Drosophila melanogaster: one gene and its partners. The protein of the gene in region 1 interacts with the protein of each later gene in a pairwise test. Each region holds a gene or a part of one and is shown in the gene's direction. Other genes may lie near its edges.

Evidence for each region.
Region 2: the proteins of Mst84Db (region 1) and H15 interact in a two-hybrid assay, tested with the Drosophila melanogaster proteins (one large-scale study listed by BioGRID).
Region 3: the proteins of Mst84Db (region 1) and slow interact in a two-hybrid assay, tested with the Drosophila melanogaster proteins (one large-scale study listed by BioGRID).

The regions. Positions count from the first base shown.
Region 1 is NT_033777.3:7,364,648-7,367,476, reverse strand, and holds Mst84Db (Male-specific RNA 84Db), read left to right. Parts: upstream 1-1,849; 5' UTR 1,850-1,901; intron 1,902-1,954; 5' UTR 1,955-1,971; coding exon 1,972-2,196; 3' UTR 2,197-2,317; downstream 2,318-2,829. Other genes in the region: Mst84Da (Male-specific RNA 84Da), read right to left, coding at 1,298-1,450, 1,506-1,544.
Region 2 is NT_033779.5:5,402,324-5,406,085, forward strand, and holds the start of H15 (H15), read left to right. Parts: upstream 1-1,956; 5' UTR 1,957-2,556; coding exon 2,557-2,869; intron 2,870-3,762.
Region 3 is NT_037436.4:4,382,818-4,386,579, forward strand, and holds the start of slow (slowdown), read left to right. Parts: upstream 1-1,624; 5' UTR 1,625-1,810; exon of another isoform or gene 1,811-2,070; intron 2,071-3,762.

The DNA.
Region 1 (2,829 bases):
CATAACCATCGCAATGCTACCAAAGGAACTAAGGTTTCTTGATCTACGTTTCAATAATCTCGTTACCCTGGATGACAAAGTCCTGAGTTACCTTAAGAAAAATTCAATTAAAACTAAACTTTCTGGGAATCCCTGGAATTGCGACTGTAAGTCGAGATCAGTCCTTTCCATTTTGAGAGATCACGAACCCCTTGAGTATGACGTCACGTTGAAACGTTGCAATATATCTCCAACGGATTGTCCAGATGTTTGTGTCTGCTGCTTGGATAACTTGACATGGCCATCATTTATTGTCGATTGCAGAGGAGAAGGACTTCTACAGATGCCTTCACTTTCAAGCAGGGTTACCTATGTGGACCTAAGGAATAACAACCTTACGGCCCTGTCACAGAAGAATCGTTCTTCTATCGAGAACAGATCGTTAAAGCTGCATTTGCTTGACAATCCCTGGTCTTGTTCTTGCAACGATATAGAAAAGATAAATTTCATGAAGAGTGTGTCTTCAAGTATAGTAGACTTCACTGAGATAAAGTGCAGTAATGGTGAGAAGCTAGTCTCGATTAATCAGCATATTGTGTGTCCATCTGACCTCTTTTATTATTTGGCACTCGCGATCTCCCTAGTGGCCACGATCATTGCCTTAAACTTTTTGATATGGTTCAGACAACCGGTCCTGGTCTGGTTCTATGAGCACGGTGTGTGTCTCAGTCTGTCAGCCAAGCGGGAACTTGATAAGGACAAAAGGTTCGATGCCTTTCTGGCGTTTACCCATAAGGACGAGGCTCTGCTGGAGGAGTTCGTGGATAGGCTGGAACGTGGTAGGCCCAGGTTCCAACTCTGCTTCTACCTGCGAGACTGGCTGGCGGGCGAATCTATTCCCGATTGCATTGGTCAATCTATAAAGGACTCGCGGCGCATTATTGTCCTCATGACAGAGAACTTTATGAATTCCACTTGGGGTCGCCTCGAGTTCCGACTGGCCCTCCACGCCACCTCACGCGATCGGTGCAAGCGTCTGATAGTGGTGCTCTATCCAAACGTGAAGAACTTCGACAGTCTGGATAGCGAGCTAAGGACCTACATGGCATTTAACACCTATCTGGAGAGAAGCCATCCGAACTTTTGGAACAAGCTGATTTACTCGATGCCGCTACTACCAAGCTACGTTGACTAGGACATTACATTATTAATTTCAATAAGAAACAAAAATATATAATTTGTTGTCTCCCACACAGTTTATTTTTTGAGATTTACATAGTTCCCGGAAGTATTCCGACAGGTTTCCGGGTCAACTGGTTTAGCAGCAAGGACCGCAACCGCAAAAACTGCTGGTGCCGCCGCAGCAAGGTCCACATCCTCCGCAAGGACCACAGCAGGGGCCACACCCACCACAGCAGGGGCCACATCCACCACAGGGTCCGCATCCGCCGCAGGGGCCACAGCAGGGGCCCTGATAAATCATATTAAAAGTATTCACTCGACTTACGAGACCGATAAATACATACCCCAACCAAAACGTAATTCGGGTTGACGTACATGTACATGATTTTGTTTCTTAAAAGATATTTCCCAACCGGAATCGAAAGGAACCGAAAATTTAGGTGTTAACTATTGAAGGTGGAACGGAGAACTGACTGAATGTGATCCAAATTAGCCGAAGCTTCATTTGACAGCAGTCATGAGAATTTCAAGGCTAATATGATCCGACAAATTATATTCATTATTATTATTATATTCTGGTATCCCAAAACCCATAATCTAGTTAGCTATGGATATTTTCGACAGTTGTCAAATTCATATACCAACTTGTGAGTCAGGTTTCCATCATTCTTATTTTGGTTCTCGGCCTGTAATCATCGAAATATTTTTTCGTCCTAAGTTATTTCTTTGTTAGGTTCAAAGTGAGTATTTCTCAAAGTGTAAGCATGCGAAGTTTTAACAAAATTTTTCTTAGAACTTTACGGAACCATCATGTGTTGCGGACCCCTTGGATTCTGCGGACCCTGTAGCCCGTGCGGCGGTCCTTGCGGACCTTGCGGACCCTGTGGTCCTTGCGGTTCCTGCTGTAGTCCTTGTGGATCTTGCTGTGCGCCTTGCGGCCCTTGCGGTCCTTGCGGTCCTTGCTGCGGGGGCTGTGGTCCATGCGGGCCTTGTGGACCTTGCTGTGGACCTTGTAGGCCATATTGCGGGTGCTGAACAACAACCACAACATGTAAAATATCTTTTTCCTGTGAACCACAAAGTGGAACTTAGGACTGAATGCGGATAAACTCTTCTTAGCTCGCGGGCCTAGTCAATAAAATAAGAATTTCAAAATACCTTTTCCGATGGTTTTTCTCTTCTAAATGGTGCAACCTTTGTCTTAGCTATGGATACCAAATGCGTGACAATAATAATTTATGTAATATAATTGCGAAAATTAAAATTGTCAATTCTTGGTGGATTGCGATCGTTAGAGGGGGCGGAGGAACATCCTACGTTCATATCGACTAGGCTTGTGATCCAGCTCAAGAATAAATAACCTTTTCTTCTATTCACTATAGCATAGCTATTACTCTACGAGTGGCGGGTATAAAACCTGCAACCGTGAATTTAAACCTCATTCAATAATAGTATTTGTCTGCAAACGGACAAATGTCCGATAACAATAATTCTATAACAATAATAACTATTTTTAACCATCAACCGCTGTACATAAACATAATTCGAATTCATAGTAGGCTATGGAAATCGTTCTTGACCTGTCAGACCCACCTAACCTTGTAAGTTCGGAAAATATATCATTCTCATCTCGACCCTTGTGCTGCTCGCATCAAAATTTTGTTGTTT
Region 2 (3,762 bases), on another chromosome or scaffold:
ACACCTGGGAAAACTAAAATAAGACGCATTTTGAATTTAAATTTTGCATTTGAGACTAAACATTTTTATTAAATATTTAGATAATAAACACATTCATATCAATATGTTGTAAACTTTAATATAAAAGTTACCAAAACTAAATTTTAAGATAAATGTATTGTAACCAGAACATACAAGACATAAAATTTAAATAGTTTACACTTTCGATAATGTAGCGAAATTATTCAACTTTTCTCGCAGTGCTGGGAAAAGAGGACATCATCCTAGGAGGACGAAGGGCGCAGCTGACGAATTGTGAAAAAAGTCTGACGGAGGGAAACAAGATGGTGGCACCACCAGAGCCCCTTCCCCTCACCCCACCAGTTTCCTCCCTTTTCCATGGGTCTATAATTTTCTGCTGCGTTCACACGCCATAGTCGCATTTTTTTTCCAACCATCTTTTGTTGTTTCCTTTGAGCAAACATTTAAATTAAAAACATTTACATACGCCGGTGGGCGGACAAAAGGGAGGAGTGCCAGGAACCCAGATATTCAATTATGATTTTTCAATTGGAGGACCCAGCACACGAGACACTTTCTCAGATAAGTCCTGTCGCAGGACTTTTTGTTTTTTCTCTTGACGGTCTGGAAAATTATAGGGTGATGGTTAGGATGTTTAAAGGACATTTAAAGGGAATGAATAATTACAAGAATACAAATACATAAATATATTTTTCTTGGAATTTGGTGAAAATACAACTTGTAACGAAACAATTCAATACATTTTTCATAGCTCAAAATTGTACAATTTTTTTGAATAAAATGAGAAAAATGTGGAAACAGAAAACATTTCGAAATATTTTACATAAAATGCTGGCAAACAATAAAATGATGGCAAATGCGGGATAACCCCTTTGTTCATTTTTTACATTAATTTCCTCTCCTGAATTTTATAGATTTCCCTACCATGTTTAAATATGCTTTATAAGGTTATGTTTATAAAACATTCATTTCAATGTTATAGGTTAGTTCTTAATATAAAATCGTTTATTTAAGACTTAAAAAATATGTAATCAAGAACAATAATATTAATTTCAGAGATACCATGAAATTAAATATTATTAAAAGAATTTTTCAATATTCTCAATTTATACAGTAAACGTAACTAGAACGAAACTCACTCGCTTTTCCACTCAACTCAGTGCGCTGTGGTGAATAGCCAATGAGAAACGGAATGGAATCGGACCGAGTTGAGAATAATTGTAAATAGTCGACGAAAAGCGGTGAAACACACCCCCAACCCCGACCAACAAAATCCACTCACACTCACCATAGCAACAACAACAATGAAGCAAAGAACTGTCAACAGCCAAAAACAAAATGACGAATTTATGAACTCCTCAGCGCGCTCTCTTTCGCGCTCCCTTGCTTCTAGCGGCACGAGTGAGATGGCAGCAACAAAAGGCTCTCACTCAAATACGGCTATATAGAGTTGTCTCGCTCTAACACGCGGCTAGCTTATGAATTGGTATTGTTTTGAGTGCATGGGAATGTGTGTTCGAATTGGAAAATGGAAATGAGTTATGCCTCGACGCCGACGTCGCTGCAAGCAGCATGGGAATGCACTGCATGTGTGGCCATCTCGCTCACACCAGTCTAATTGAAAACCGTATTTTTTCCCATATTTCTTTTGCGGTTTAAACTGGCGGTTTGCCTACGTCACGTAAGGAAAGTTTCGGGCCATGTTCTCTGGAAATGTTTCCTTACGTCGCGTTACGTGGTGTTGAAAACCTTTCGCCGTAAGACACATCAGCTGTTGTTGTTTCTGTTTTGGGGGGTCAGTCGACGTCGCAGTTGGCTTCGCTGTCGGCGTCCTCGTATTTGTTGTTGATTTTTGCGTTGCGTTTTTTTGTTGGTTTTGTTGGCTTTGGCTTTGGCGCTTTTGGCGTTTACATGGCGAAAAGCGAATTGGGATTCATTCAATGGTCAGCTGCGTGACTGTGAAGCAGCGACGGCGCTCCGGAATTTCCCGTTTCCTACTCGAGAATACGCAAATTACGATAAATAGCACGAAAAACCGGAGACCGCAAATACGGGCGTAAAGTCGTCAAGTCGCAAAGTGTGTCGTAAAACGTTGGAAAAAATAATACACATTATTTGCAAAAAAAAATTAGACAAATTTTATAATATTTTATTATTTAATAAAAAATCAAACGGCACAAGAATAATAACATACATACATATATAAAAAGGAAGCAAAGCAACTCTGTGTGATAAAGCAGTTTAAATTATTAAAAGCAAAAGCCGGCAAAAAATCAACAAATATGTTGAAGAAAATTGTAAAGAATTCAGTTTAAATCCGAATATAATATTTTAAAGAGCATTAAACAAACAAGTCCCAAAATAGTAGAACTAATGCAAATACAAACATATCAAATAATGGGCAACAAATAGGCAAACGATAAAGAAAATACCAACAAAAGCGGGAAAGAAAGTCCGAAACCTTTGAGAGCATATATTTGGCAAGAATTGGCTAAAATCCGTGCAGCAGCATTACCAATTGGTCTCGGCCCGAAAATGCTTTTGAGCAATCAGCCGGCGAATACGAAACCGCAGCAAACGCCTTCGCCGTCGCAGACGCAGAACTTCAAGTCGAAGCTGCAGCAGCAGATTGTTTCGGCAGCGGCGGCGGCAGCGGCGAACATAGCCAACGGCAGCAGCCATCATCATCATCATCAGAACCATCATCATCACCATCCGCTGAACAACCATCATAATCACAATCACAATCAGCACAACATTTCCTTCGCCACGGATTTCTCAATTGCGGCGATTATGGCGCGCGGCGGAAACGCCCCAAGCAGCCGCGAACCTTCGGAACGCAGTCTGAGTGAGTAAAGTAATTCCCGCACTAAAATATCAGGCCTACATCGCAAACTAGACTCAAGAGCTGTTCAAAAATAGCCAATGCATTTTAGGGCTTCATTTTCGATTGGGTTTCAGAACAATAAGTATCTTGATATCGTTAGTTTGCATGAAACGAGCTTAAAAACCAATCTTCATTTGAGTCCCATCGCTTCATTCATGAACGTATGTTTCTTATGATTCTTGAATTCATATTCAGCTCCTTACTACAAACAAGTTTCACTCTATTAACATATTCAATATTCCATTCTTTCGATTGAGACTAATAAATTGGCCAGTCAAAGTTTGAAAAGATTTTAACTCTGGCATATCTAGCATGTTGATGTTTATCCCAAGTTACGGGCTTGTCTGCTGATTTAACTATAAATATTTACGATCCAGGATTAAAATATGAAAGGCTTGATAAATGATTGAAAATAATCAAGCTGTGACGAAGAGCCAATTATCACATTTATGTATTATTTATGTGAATTTTTTAATTCAGATTTCAGATACAAGATTAGGAAAGTACACTCAAAATCGAAATAGAACTCGATAAAATCACACATAAGAGCAGAAACAAAATGCATTGCCAGAAAAATATATGTGTAGCAAATTGGCTTTGAATACTTGAGACTTGATGAAGAACAAAAGCAAATTAGTAGGTTAGTGTGCTAGCAAGAAAATTGAAATGTAGTTGATATTTCTATATATTTCTAGAAACACGTAAAGCAGTTAGGAAAATATATAAACATATTTCATTGGCTTTGGTAAAGAGTCATGTAATCGATTGCTTAGTAATATTCACTTGCTTTATTACCCACCTCTTGAAAAACTGTCGCAGCTGCATTACATTTCTATATTTTCCACATTTTTTGC
Region 3 (3,762 bases), on another chromosome or scaffold:
TTATGCTTTATTTGAATTCGATTTGGGAACGCGGCGTGGGTGTTCCCCAAACCCAAAGTCCCCACTCAAGTGGCAGCTAATAGCCCAATAAATTGTGATTGTCGGCGGCGAGGAAACCGAAGCAACACACACATAATATTAAGAGAAGACCGTAGTACCTTTGTGCAGCTAAGCGAACTGTCAATGGCTGGCACATTGTTCGATTTATGACCATTCTGTTGGCCAGGGAATGTGCAACCAGTTTATGGGATGGATTCGCACGGACGAATGCTGAATGCTGGATGTTCCACAGCGCAGGCGCAAATCCTTTTGACATGTCCAATGTGCTCAGCATTTAGACAGTGGGCAGCTATTCTGTTGCCAGTGGCTAATAGTATGTGGCAATGCACTTGGCGAAACTATTGTATCTAGCACAATCAAAAAAGTTATATACAAAAGTGATTATGCTTAAGGAAAGTACTGTACATATATAATATAACAGACTTACTTAGGACATGAATTAAAGTACATTTAAAACCTTTATCATGTTTAACCCATGAATTTTTGATTAAATCTAGACTTAGTGGCATTTTTCGAGTGTGGTTGACAGTAGCACTCTTATGATGACAACGACAGATCCAGCACCCGATATGGACAGAAGGGCTGGAAACGAGTTCTTCTTCGCTCTGGGACTCGGATTCTCGATGTGAAAGATCAGCGAGCCGTGGCCTAAACTGGCTGCCCGGCAGCGGTGGGTAAATATTTAACTTAACAACTTGCCACCGACCGAAGAAGATGCAACAAAAGCAGCCGTGGCCGCAAGAACAACAACGGCGGACCATAAAAAGCACAAACCGCAACTTCCAAATAGTTTGAACTGTGCAGAGAGTGCAGAGATGATCCTCCTATAAACAAAACAGCTGTAACGCACTCAAAAACCAGCCAACGACCAGCCGAGGGCATACCTGCCCACTGCGCCGCCCACCACCCACCACTGCGCCCCTCAGCCCCACCACAAAGAGTTCTTCCGCCTGGCGAATTCATCCGCTCCACAGTTGCATCGAACAAAGGAAGCCAACTTGTGCCCCCATCGGTCCAATTTCGTTTGAGCGAACCAGCCAATGTGCACCGAACATGGGCTTCGACTGGTCTGACAGTGCAGACCAGCTGGCTATTTCTAGCTGTAAAAAAATATATACAGATTATATACAGACTAATAAGAATACACCTGAGAAACATATTAAAATTCCACTGATATTTAGCAAGATAAATTGAGTAGTAAAATCTTACATATTTGTAGAAGTTTGTGTGGCTTCTTATTTTAGAGAAATTTACCCTTTTCAAAATTTTGCTAAAATATCAGGTAAAGATATTTTTAAAAACAAATATATATGTAGATTTCAGAAAACTCGACGTATTTTCTACGGCATCTACAGTTATCCCGATTCCAAAGAAGTAAACAAAAAGTAAAGTGTGCTACTGATATATGAATGAATCAATGTTTAAGAAAATAACTAAATATTTACCGATGTTCGGAGTGTTCAGAGTATACAATCTATATACTTTTGGCTCCACTTTCCGACTGCACTGGCAGCGCCGTCGATCGCCGATCGTTAACTGGACTTTCGGTTTCGGCTGTGCATTTTCAGTTCGTCTCGGGACTTCTAAGCGATCGGTTTGGATTTCGTTAGCTCCGCCGCGCCAGCTGGAAATTTGTATCTCAAAGATCGCAGCCAGTTCGCTCGGTTTTTGTGCCTGGCATACGGAAGCGGCTAACGCAGAATCCGGAAAATCACAAGAGCCGTATATATTTCACAAATATATATATATAGTATGTTTCGAAAAGGCCCATTCACGGCCATTAAAATATTTTATTGTACAAAAAAGGCACAGTGCCGCGTATCTGCTTAATGTCAGCGCGAAAACTCAATTCAATTTATTGTTTGTGATTGCAAATTTGGCATAATTGTGCTTTGATTTATTCGCGCGTGTTTCGGGTCATCTCTATAAAGAGGAATTTTAAATCTGGGCAAGATTATCTCTGTTTTTCTCTGAACACTGGCTGGGTCAGTTGGAATTTGTTCGCCGTGTGTAAGTCACATGCAAATAGCTTTAATTAATTGCAATTACTTATGATTTGAATGTGTGTCAAAGCGCGGTGCGACATTTCCTAGTGCATTAATCTTGCTCAAAATCGCATTGCCTATCCTGTCTAGGAGTTACATGTCACTTATGGACGTAATTTGCATTTTTGTGGAGCGGCTAACTAAGTTGGCTTACCATTTACATATGCGCTTTGGCTGCCAAACAATGCCATAAATGGTCTAAGAATTAATTATCGTGAGAACTTCAAGACAATGTCTTTATTAAATAATTGTCAATAATTCTGAGTAGTTTTCAATGTACAATTTGTGATAATTTTCTTGGTAATTTTCTACGGTAATTTGCACCTTGATAAAAAGTGTTTAAGACAGTGTAATTTGTTTCCGTGTTTTCTTCAATGCAAATTATTTATTTCGAAATGGCAATAAATTGCTCAATAAATTTTATTTCTTTCAACAATGATCTGATAAAGGATTAATTCATTGCTTCGTTTTTGCGTAAACAAAGATTGTTCTGCGGAAATCTTGTAATTTATTTTTACTCTTTTAGATAAGTTTAAAATATATATATTTTATATAACCATTTTTCTTCACTATCGAAATGAACATTTTATAGCCCAACATTATTGCTGACATGAATGCAACCAAAATAAATATGTAAATCTTGTGACGTTATCGCCATCAAAAATTAGTGTAAATAATGTGACAAAGCGGAAAACGACACAAATCAAAAATAGATGTATCAATACTTTCCATTGTTTAGACTAGTTTGGCTAACAATTATGCATACATATGGCTAAATGAGTTTCGTTTTTTTTTTGTTTGCCCCAACGTGCATTCTGCATTCTCACACATATCGTTTGGCAGGTGAGCAATCAGAAATCGAAGTTTGGGGCACGATCCGTGGAAAGCGATCGTGCCTTTCTGCGTATCATAGTGTCTATACAAATGTTATTATGGTTAACGCCACTGGAAAGTGGGGTGGAGTTTGTTGTTGGTTTTCTTGTTTTTCCTCGACTTTGCTAATTAGACAAAGTCATTTCCATAAATTACGCAGCTAACGGTAACTGGGTTTATGACTTTTGTCCGGCTTGGTCGCGGGTCAACATGAACCATAGCTATATGCATACATATATATGGATATATACTATTTGTTCATATGGGCAATGGGTCTGCGGGGCACGTGTGGGCGTGGCCTCCGCCCCCTTGCAGCTGCAAAGCAATTAGCAAAAGACTGGACATGCCAGCAAATTGAGCTCTGCTGTTGCAGTTTTTCCTTTGGCCTTTTTTGGGTCGCTGCAATTGTTATTGAAATGAGTTTTCGCGTTAAAAACAGTTGAACTTGCTGGAAAAAGGTACATGTATCTCACAGTTATCGATCACAAATGAGTAATTGGCCATTAGAAACGGAATATGGTCACAGGATATCAAATAAAATGAAATTATTATTGAAGGCTATACTCAGCAGTATCTGTAATTATAAATCCATTAAATCTAAAATTGTGCAATATTTTTCTCAGTGTGCTAAAGGGGGTTGGTGAGGCATGCGACTTTTGAGATGTCAAACTGTCGATGTTGAACACGTTGCATAGTTTTCGCTTTTCATCTCCGACTTTGTTAGGGAAGAAACGCAGCCACAAAGGCCAACAACATTCCTTAAATTGGATTGAAAGTAACAAAG